Linked DNA regions of Cricetulus griseus. The protein of the gene in region 2 interacts with the protein of the main gene of each other region in a biochemical or structural test. Links are inferred from orthologs where the notes say so. Each region holds a gene or a part of one and is shown on either strand. Other genes may lie near its edges.

Region 1 (3,959 bases), about 91 Mb from region 2:
GAGATAGATAAATAGGAAGAGATGCACCAGTCGGTGTGGTCATTCACAAAGCATTTGAACTTGCCACTCAGCCTGGAAACCGTCCTTCACTGCTCCCCACTATGTAACCCACCCTCCACTCTTATCCAAACTGAAAGTGTAATTCACATGGCTGCAGCAGCTGGTGCTCAGGTAACAGAAGATCTGGACAGTCCCTGGTTCTCTAAATGCTCCTTAAAATCACCCAAGCTGTAATCAAAAAGTGAGAGGGGTGCAAGGAATTGTCAGCTGAGCACAAGCGTCAGTACCTGCCGCCAGGAAAAGATGAGTTGGAAATAAATGACCTTTCAGTCTGGGTGGACTTTTCCGCCATCTGTGACTGGGGCTGGAGTGAGTGGCAGAGCACTGTGTCTTGAGCCCCCCCCCACACACACACACACTCACCAAGAAGAGTCAGGAAGGGGGAAATGACAGCAAAGGGTAAGGTGGGGGACACCGGGGAATGAGGGCCAAAAGTGAAAGAAGCACCCAGACCTCGGCTTCTGTCCTTGGTGCTGAAGTTTATTCAAAAAAAATTATTTCCAACTGCTTTCCGAAAGGGGTGAGGATCTACCTTAATATGCAGGGTGGGAGAGGGAGAGCCCCATTGAAACCACCCATCTACATTTAGCATCAGTCGTGATAGATGAAGACAGGAAGCAGCAGCTCCAGCAGGGTGTTCGCCACACCTCAGTGACGATGAGACCAAGCTGCATGACACACCATAGGGGCTTAGGGTCTTCTGCAATCTGCCCCAGCAAATCTGGCTGCTTTTCCTCCCTGGCTGTTATCTTCGGTACTACAAAGAGAAAAATATATTGGTTTGATGATCTGGCTTTACTGTACTAAAACATTCAACTTGGCCAGTGATCCCCTATTTCCCACCAGCCACAGTCCAGCCCAATGGTCCCCTGTCATAAACTGGCAAACAAGTAACCCATAAACGTTAAGGCAGGCAGATTTAGTCCATTTCATTGAAATATGCCAGGCTCTTACAATTGTGGGAAGAACACTAACTGCCCATCAGCAGCGCAAAGGTGACTTTGCCTTTATTCTAACTTCCCAGCTGGTGCTCAGAGGCTGTAGCAGCTGTTGGCATGGTCTTGAGACTTCTGGAACATCCACATAGTGGGGCAGAACTCTCAGAAGGAATAAACACTTGCACTGGTCTCTCTGCTGCCAAAGATACTCCCTCGAAGTATTGAGTTTGCTCTCCCACCCAACCTCCATGCCATTTCCATCCACAGTTCCTCTTACCCGGAAGCTGTTGCACCCTAGTCCGCTCTGGGCCCCAATCCTGTCGATCCTACCCCCGAAGCAGCTGGACCTCCGTAGGCTCCGAGGGGCAGCCAGCAGAGCCCTCAGTTTGCTTTTCAAGAGAGCAGATCTATCGGAGGGCTCCCAGGAGCTGCGCCCAAGGGTACTGCCTTCTCTCTGCGGTGGGTTGACCTCCCCAGTCCAGGGAGGCACCTCAGGGAGGGAGTTGAGCACTGCCCCCGGTGCCTCATCGTTCTGCTCACTCAGGGCCTGAGGGGGCACGACCTCATCTTCTAATGGCATCTTCTCCTCCAGATGGTCTAGCAGGTTCTTTACAAAGGAAAAATAAGTGCCGGGGAAGGGGGATGTCTTAGAGGAATGCACTCAGCACCAAAGAGACCCAGTCTGTGCCCCACTTCCTGGCCCTACCTTGAAATCCATCAGATCTGTGTTGGACACTGCACTGTACACAGGGTTCGCTCCAATATGGCCTGGAAGCCAAAAGGCCAGGAGCAGGAAGAAGCCCATGGCGATGGAGAAGGAGCCCATGCTGGCGAGGGTTGGGGCACGATCTGAAGCTTGCTGTCTCTGCTCACTCCTCTCCGGCTTCTCTCTCTCAGCCTTTGCCCGTCACTGTCTCCCAGCTGCCCAGTGCCTCCCGTTTTTATAGCCCCCCAGCTCTCTGAGAACGCAGGAGGGCTGGAACCCTCCCCATTCTGTCACTTGCAGCGATAAAGCGATGGAGTGAGGAGCCAGCAGAAGATGTCCTTTTAAAGTTATCAGCCCAGCAGAGCTTGTCACGGCCCCTTCTCCTTGAGCAGCTCCAGTAGCCCCCCTCCCCGAGACCCTCGTCTGCAAGAGTCACATTCTTGCTGATTTGCCTCAAGAGGCCCCCACTTCAAAGGTGTGAGAAGAGCAGAAGAGTCCTTGGTTATCTCCCCGGGCGCGCGCCTCAGGATTCTTTCTCCCTGGCAACGGGACCCATGCAGGGAAGCAGAGGGTGACGGCTGGCCTGCACCCAGCTCCCCCTGCTTGCAGCTCAGCTGTCAGGGGCTCCAAATAAGGGTGGGAGGGGAGGAAATGACAGGCAGCTGGGAGGCCAGCTAGACCAGCTAGGGAGTGCACATGCTGGAGCTGGCTTCACACCTGATTCATCAGCCTCGTGGGTGGACCTCTGGCCCCCGACAGCCCACCCCCACCCTAGATATGCGTGTTAGCAGTCAGGTGAAAGAGTTATTTTATTTTAGAGTGTGAAGTCAGCCAGGAAGCCAGCATGATACAGGCCCTAAGAATTCAGCTACAAGTATAAACACCAAGGGACGATAGAGCGTATTTCCTCTGAAGCCCATTGTTCTTGTCTCCCAAGACTTGGTCCAAGGTGCAAGGGGACAGACAGGCTTGAAGAATGCCTCCGCTTCTCTTTCTTGGCCTTGCTGTTTTCAAAAGCTCTGAGTCTGAGTACAAAGTGTAAAATGGTCCCAGCTTCCCAGGGAATTAGAGGGAAGAAGGGAGGTGATGGAAGGGAGGGCACACAGTTCTCCATAACATTCTTCGCGACCTCCAAGGCCAAGGAAGTGAGCCATCAAAGTCTTGACTCCTCTGGCATCTGCAGGAGCATGGCAGTCACTGAATGCTCTCGAGACTTCAGTGTCACCACACTCAACACTGCGCAAGCTTTGCTGTCTGACAAGCGTGTGTTTTCTCCTTTCTGTTCACTTACGGGCTGCAGCAGACCCGAATTCCATTCCCACACATTCTAATCCACTCCCGCCATTCAGGGCCCAGATAGCTGTTTTCAGGATGGCTAGTTCCGTCCTCAGGCTGTGGCTGCCTGCTGAAGTTGTCATGTGACCACAATGGCTGGAGGTCACAAGAGGTGTCTGTGGTGATGTTCTCTAAAACAGGAGAAAGAGAGAGAGAGAGAGAGAGCCCTTTGAGAAAGCTGGGGGCTGCAGGCAACCAATTTGGGCTAGCCGATCTCTACTTGAAATATGAAATCAGTGCAAGTCTTTGTGGGAACTCTGGGTCCAAACTCTGTCGCCTCCGGATGAGTCCCTGGGATGCCCTCAATGCTTAAGTGTGTGGCTGTGAATTATGAGCAAAGAGGACTCAGCAAAGCATCCCTACTGGGGGACTCAGGTCCCCTGCGGTGTGTGCCACATGGCCTGTCTCCTGGAGATTGATGGCCTTTGAATCAGGCACAGACTTGAGAAATGGCTCTGAGGCCTTCTGCCACTTTTCTGTCCTGTGCCATATCTGAAGCGCAGAGGTGGCCCTAGGAGAGGTGACGTTCTGAGCAGTCATGCTCCAGGAGGGCAATCTCAAGGCCCGCCCATCTCCTTTGGTCAAAGTCAATTTTCAAGAGTGGAACTGGAGAGGACATAAGTGCCATCCACTGAGTTTCTGTGTTCTCAGGGTTCCATTAAGGGGCAGGGATGGAGGACGCTCCGAGTGCTCTCCACGTCTCTGTGTCACCATGTTCCACAGTGTGTGCTCTGTGTCTGACAAGTGGAGGAGCCCATCACCCTCTCAGTCCAGTCCTTAAGAAGCCTTTCAGCTGAGTCCCAAATGGAAGGCAACTCAAGGTGACGTTTCTTTCCATGTCTTTGGCCCTGCTCCACTTTGGGGTGCCCAGAAGCCAGTCAGCCTTAGCTCTAGGAATGATAAAAAGAAAAGAAATGCAC
Region 2 (3,279 bases):
ATTACCGCCAGGAACAGCCTGAAACGTTCTGGCTACAGAGAGCACCACCGCTACAGGTGTGTGGGGGTGACTAGGTATTGGGGGGAGCTTTTCTGTTCTGGCTTGGGGAAGGGTGGCATCTGTCCTTATCCTGACACTCCCTCCAGGGTAACATCAGGACACTGGACACACCGTTCCGGAAGAAGTGCAGCTTCTCAACACCAGTGCCCTTGTCTCTGGGGCAGCCTTTGCCTTATGATTTTGAGAATTCCCCCAACCAAGTGGAGTCAATGTCTTCGATTGCCTGTCAGGAAGGAGGGCAGGGGTGTGGAAAGACAAGGACAACTCCAGCCTAAGGGTTGAGGAGAGAAGTAGACATGGAATTTGGAGTCTATTTGTGTTCATACTGCAGAGGCAGGTGTGGGTTGAGCTAATTCTCTGTGCTTGATGAGGGGGTTACATAAAGCACTCTCCTGCTGAAGCTGCTGATTCATTGAGTCCATGAGTAGCTGTGTCCATACCCAATATTCTTCCCTTGCAAAGACCTAGACCCCAGACAAGAACACCATGATTTGTTGTTGTTGTTTTATACTTGGACAAAATATTCTGGTCTAGATACAGATATTTACAAGAAGGCAGGAAGGGGCAGGTATATGTACAAGGCTGAGCTGCAGAAGGCTGTGACTTCCATATAAGGCAGGGTTTTGGTTTGGGGTGTGTGTGTGTGTGTGTGTGTGTGTGTGTGTGTGTGTGTGTGTGTGTTCCATCTCAAATGACAATGTCTGTTTTTGTTGTGTGGTCATTGCCCATCCTAGTACCAGCAGCAGGAGATTGTCTGGCTTGGGGTTTACAGGAGTCCGGGAGGTCCTTTTCGCTCTCCTAAGAGCCAATAAGTTCGCATTTTTCCTTTTCCCTGGAGGCAGGGGAGTGGGCATAGTTGAGATTCTCCTGTGTTAGTGCCTTTATCTCCCTCTCTCCCCCAACTTTCATCCTCCCATGATCCACTACCCCATGTCCCGCTGTCACCTTCATCTCCACGTCCCCACGGAGCTCTAGCTGGAAGCATCCTAACTCATCCAGGGCATCCTTGGTGGTCGAGGAGACATGGATCTTTAGAGCTGGGGTAGTGCAGGCCAGGAACAGAGGGAGAAAGACGAATCAAAGAAAAGGCAAGAGAAAAATTGACATGCTGGAGAGTACTTTACCCAGTCATCCACCCCTCAAGAAAGCCTCCAATCCTCCCAGTACACATTTATGGGAATCAATATATGCCCAAGGACAGGGCACTTAAGAACTAACTATCCAACTGAGAGATATGGAGGAACTCTGCAAAGAGAAAAGAGCAAGACAGACCCAGGTCAAGGCTGGAGTTAAAGGCTGCTGTCCTCACCTTGACCATTAGACTCCATTCTAGAAGCAGTGTTCACTGTGTCTCCAAAAAGACAGTACCGGGGCATCTTCAGACCAACAACCCCAGCACAGACTGGCCCTACAAATACAAGCTGGTTGGGAGAGACCCAGACAAGTAGACCCTAGGGCTGGGTGAGAATTCACCTTACCAGTGTGGACGCCTATCCGTAACCTCAGCTGGTCATGGGGTCGATGTCGGATGCGAAAGGAAGAAACAGCATCTAGTAATGCTAGGGCCATGCGAGCAATTTCTGGTGCATGGCGTTGACCATTTCGGCCTGGAAGGCCAGATACCACCATATAGGCATCCCCAATGGTTTCCACCTGATTTAAAGGGAGGATTAAAAGGTCATCTGTAGGTTTACTAGTTAGAACACTGGCTGCTCTTCCAGAGAACCTGAATTCAGTTACCCCCTGTAACTCCAGTTCCAGGGGAAATGACACCTTCCGGCCTCCATGGACAACTGCACACATGTGGCATATATTCACATAGATAATAAACATAAATAAAATGATAAAACTATTTTTAAGAGGTCATCTCTAGCTATATCGGTGGGAATGAGAAAGAGATAAGATGAACTGCCAGGAGTCATCCTAACAGCCTGGGAGGCCATGACTGGCCAGATGGACTAGGAACTATATGCCATGGTCCTGAGGATCTGCAGATAAGAGCAGGGCAGACAGGGAATACTTAACTCCTCCTCAGTAACCCCGCACCTGGTGAATATTCAGTGGCTTGTGTTGAACAAGTGGACAGGAGCGGGATCCTGATCCAAAGAAGGTAAAGTAGGTTCAGTAACGTGGACCAGGCAGCCTGACTGTCAGAGGGAGAAGATGCAGCCAATTGACTTTGGTAACTGTACCAAAACTATGGCACACAGAGAAATGTGTAGGGAGCCCATACTAAGTATTAGGGATACTAAGACTTCCTCTCAAATGGTCCACATAATAAGTATATGAGTTTAAAAAAATAATAATATAGGACCTGGAATTTTGCCAACGAGCAGAATAGTTTAGCATGGGGAAAGAGCTATGGGTTTGATTCACAAAGACTCCAGGGACGGGAAGACATCTAAAATAAAAGGAGGAAATATAAATAATCGGTGTAAAGAAATAATTGGGTAAAGGGTTTATTGTCGTTTTGTTAGGGAAACATCAGAGAGGGTTTGGTAATCTTTAAAATATCCTTATTTGTGTTTAGATATCGTCTCACTGTGTAGCCAAAGCTGACCTTAAACTCCTGATCCATCTGTCCCAACCTCCTAAATACTGGGATGATAGACAGGTGTCACCATGCCCAGCAGTATTATTTTCCATATGCCACACTCAATGTTAGACACTTTTAAGAAATATTTCTCACATTTATTTATACACACACACACACACACACACACACACACACACAGTCAGAAGAGTCAGTTTTCTCCTTCCATCATATACATAGCAGGGATTGAACCTAAGTCCACAGGCTTGGTGCCTTTACTCACTGAGCCATCTCACCAGCCCATCAGTTTTCATATACCTAATCTATTACTGCAACAACTGAGGCTCAGATAAACCCTGTTACTTGTCTAAGGCCGCATAATTATCTATAAAATTATCAGTATTCAAATCTAGCACATTTTTGCTTCCAAGGACAATTAAGCCAACTCAATGACTTTAACAAATAGCTGTATAACATGTATTTGTGTCTTGCTCTTCACCCCACATCCTCTGTGCTTCTTATGGAAGGTGTCTGTATTAATAACACACAGAGAGAGGGGAACTGAAGCGTGCAATGGCTGTGACTAGGGAACCCTGAGAATCACAGGTGTCAGACAAGACTGTCCATGTTTGCTAGAGTCACATCCACTAAAGAACACTTGGATGGTGGAGAAACTTGGGAAGCAC
Region 3 (3,222 bases), about 91 Mb from region 2:
TAGTCAGAGTGTTTGATGATGGAGTTCCAGGCGGGGGGGGGGGGGGCGCGAATGCTATGATCCCCTCCTCTTATTGCTCTGCACCCCGGAATCAAACACACACTTTGAAGAACAGATTCTGTGAGGAGTCTCAGGTGTTTCTGGTGTGGATTGGCACCTCACAATGTTAAAAACTGGGAGGGAAAGGAAAGCTCAGACACCTCACTGGCCCAGCCCTTGGGCTGTCTTTCTTCCACCATTAAGATGCCCTGGGACCTTGCGGGAAACATATTTTGTGGGGCTTGCTTCTTTCCTTGTTAAGATGAGTGACTAGAGTCAGGCATAGTGGCATGCCTTTAAGGAGACAGGCAGATTTCTATGAGTTCAAGGCCAGCCTGGTCTACAGAGTGAATTCCAGGACAGCAGAGTCTATGAAGAGAGACCCCATATCAAAAAATAAACAAACAAACAAAACAACAACAACAAAAAACCCCACAAACTGAAAAAGACAAGAGACTGATTGAAACACAGAGAGACAAATCATTTTCAAAAGCAAGAAATAATGCCGTGTTTATTACATTGTGAAAAGTTTGTGCTCAAAGGTAAGAAACAGTCTTGTAGAAAACAACCAAATAAATAAAAATAAATAAATAAATAAATAGGATCACTTCAAAAGGGGGTCCCAGGGTTGGGGAAGGAGCCCTTGGTGGAGTCAGGAGCCGGGCGGTGTCTGCAACTGGGAGCTCATCCTAATACCGCTTCAGCACTATGGGGAAAAGAGACAGGGAGATGTCAGACTTGGGGGTGAAACTGAGGCAAGGGCTGAGCTGCCCTCCACCTGCAGTCCCCAAAGGATGTTGAAGTTTACGGCTTTGGAAAAAGCAATCTCACTGGGCCTCAGTTTCTACTGTAAAGTGGGTCCGTTGTGCCCTTTGCCTTTGACAATTCAGTGTGGAGAAAACAGAGAGGAAATGCTCTTTCCTCTATGAAGGGGTGGTCAAACAACAGGCAGTCTGCACCCCGAGGTGCATTTGACCCCTCTGATGGAAGGTAGGAGGTGGTGACTTGTGAGGATGTAACGAAGCACCCATGTGACATTTCCTGACAGGTTGCCTGGTCCTGAAGACCGTCAGCAAGGTGGAGAGCTATGCAAGTATGCCGGATAGCAGACCTAGGGACTTCTGCTGGTGGCATGCCATGTGTGGGGATGGGGTGGGGGCACAGCTTGCAGGGAAGTGGCAAGGCAGAAGCTCACCGTTGCAGCCCAGACGACTGACTGAGCCGATCCGGTCTATCCTCTGCCCAAAGCAGCCCGAATTATGCATCTTCTTGGAGTTTTGAAGTTTCTGTAGGACCTGGAGGGTGCTGTCTTGAGACCCAAGGGTGCTTTGGGGAGGTGCTTTTGTGACGCCTTGGTCCTTCAGGAGCTGCCCCCGAGCCACCGCCTCTGCCTTTTCCCTCAGCAGGTTCAGCAGTGTCTGTGATGAGAGTGGGGAACCCAGGCCTCAGAAACACACTCCTGGCTCTCCCTTTCCTCCATGGTGCCCATTGGTTAAGAGTCCTGGTACTCAATCTTGCTGCTTCCCGAGTCTCACAAGGCTAATTCCCAAAGGACATGAGGTCTTTTCTTTGCCGCTGCCCAAACCCTTCAGGCAGACCCCATCCGTCTATGCAGCCCCTCAGCGCTCACCTGCATCTTGGATTGCTCCGGAGACTGGCTGGGACTGCCCAGGGGGTGGGAGTGACTTCCCAGCGGTGACAGATAAAGAAAAAGCAGGAACAGAACCATCCGGGACAGCACCTTCTGGAGATCCATGTCGTAGAAGTGATGGACCAGGCTGCTGTGGCGGTGCCTTGTTCCACCTCCTCAAGCAGCTTGTGTTCTGGCGTCTTCAGCCACGGTGCTTCTGCCTTTTATCCTGGAGCTGGGTGTCCGGCCAGCCCTCTCATGGAGTAGGGGGTGGGGTTATCTCTAATTTATCAGCCACATTCCTGCCTGCTGAGCTCAGGGCCTGAGAATTCCCCCCTCTGTGCCTGTGTGGGGTATTCGTTGTGGGTGGAGGCTGTGGAGAGCGGGCCTTGTATAGAAATGGGCTGGGCTAGGGTAGGAGTGTGCGGGGGACACTAACATGCTCCCTCCTTTCATGTAATCGTCTGAGTGTCTTTAACATCCTGCCCCACCCCTACTGGAGATGGCATGGAGAAGAACCCCAGCTTCCCTCGCCTGCAGCCGAGTGTGGGGCTTATGGGGTGACTCATTGAAAACACTCCCTGGCAACACCCACCATCACCAGCTTCCCCGAGAGAGTGTCCTCAGAACCTGTAATCTAGGCCCTGCCCGGCTTCCGAGCACCTGGCTGGACCGCTGGGCTGGACCGCTGGACTGCACCGCTTCCCGGCACCCTAGTAGCTGTCCGTGGTTCTGATCTCCACAAGTGAACGTCACACAAACTCTGCCACTCTCTCCTCAACCCATTTCCAGGCCAGAAGGGTCTCTCACACCCCCCAAAACCTTGTGAAACTTTTTGCCCAAGGATGCTCACTCTCTAGTGTCAACTGATTAAAAACTGGGATATGACAAAGAACTTCTGGAATTCCGACCCTCTCTCTGTCCCTTAATGAGGAGAACTGATTAGGATAGAATTTTGAGAGCCTGGCCCAGAGATGAGGTCATGTAGGAATGCCTTCTGGGGGCATCTCCAGGTGCCAGAGTCTCCTCCCCCACCATGAGTGGAAGAGAAAGGGTGCTTAGACACTAGAGGTGTGGGAAGGGCCTCTCCCCAGTGTTCTTATCAGATCACCCATGAGTGACTTCTCCCTAACACACCAGCCTCCCATCTCAGATGAGAGATGAGATTCTGAGGGGAAAAGGCCCTGGGATACATACCTCCCAAACATGTGTGACCAATGTCACCACCCCATCCGCAGAATCTGTGTTAACAAGTGTCAGCGTGGTGAAGGACAGTGACCAGGAGTAGCAGTGGGTTATGGCACAGATGGGAAAAAGGGATAGTTAGAAGCTCATGACTTGCCAGGAGGTGGTGGTGCACACCTTTAATCCCAGCACTCAGGAGGCAAAGGCAGGCAGATCTCTGTGAGTTTGAGGCCAGTCTGGTCTACAGAGTGAGTTCCAGGACAGCCTGGAGAAGGAGGAGGAAGAGGAGGAGGAGAAGGAGGAGGAGGAGGAGGAGGAGAGGAGGAGGAGGAGGAGGAGGAGGAAAGAAAGAAAGAGAGGAAGGAAGG

Evidence for each region. The genes of interacting proteins can lie anywhere in the genome.
Region 1: the proteins of Npr2 (region 2) and Nppa form a complex in vitro, tested with the Homo sapiens proteins (3 studies listed by BioGRID). The link is inferred for Cricetulus griseus from reciprocal best matches to the Homo sapiens genes NPR2 and NPPA.
Region 3: the proteins of Npr2 (region 2) and Nppb form a complex in vitro, tested with the Homo sapiens proteins (3 studies listed by BioGRID). The link is inferred for Cricetulus griseus from reciprocal best matches to the Homo sapiens genes NPR2 and NPPB.

The regions. Positions count from the first base shown.
Region 1 is NC_048595.1:8,467,290-8,471,248, forward strand, and holds Nppa (natriuretic peptides A), read right to left. Parts: upstream 2,394-3,959; 5' UTR 1,825-2,393; coding exon 1,705-1,824; intron 1,606-1,704; coding exon 1,276-1,605; intron 818-1,275; coding exon 806-817; 3' UTR 520-805; downstream 1-519.
Region 2 is NC_048595.1:99,878,242-99,881,520, forward strand, and holds the end of Npr2 (atrial natriuretic peptide receptor 2), read right to left. Parts: intron 1,714-3,279; coding exon 1,539-1,713; intron 1,469-1,538; coding exon 1,370-1,468; intron 1,098-1,369; coding exon 1,006-1,097; intron 893-1,005; coding exon 827-892; 3' UTR 548-826; downstream 1-547. Other genes in the region: Spag8 (sperm-associated antigen 8), read left to right, coding at 1-56, 147-335. UniProt on the Homo sapiens protein: Receptor for the C-type natriuretic peptide NPPC/CNP hormone. Has guanylate cyclase activity upon binding of its ligand. May play a role in the regulation of skeletal growth.
Region 3 is NC_048595.1:8,480,011-8,483,232, forward strand, and holds Nppb (natriuretic peptides B), read right to left. Parts: upstream 1,891-3,222; 5' UTR 1,796-1,890; coding exon 1,670-1,795; intron 1,458-1,669; coding exon 1,235-1,457; intron 746-1,234; coding exon 729-745; 3' UTR 520-728; downstream 1-519.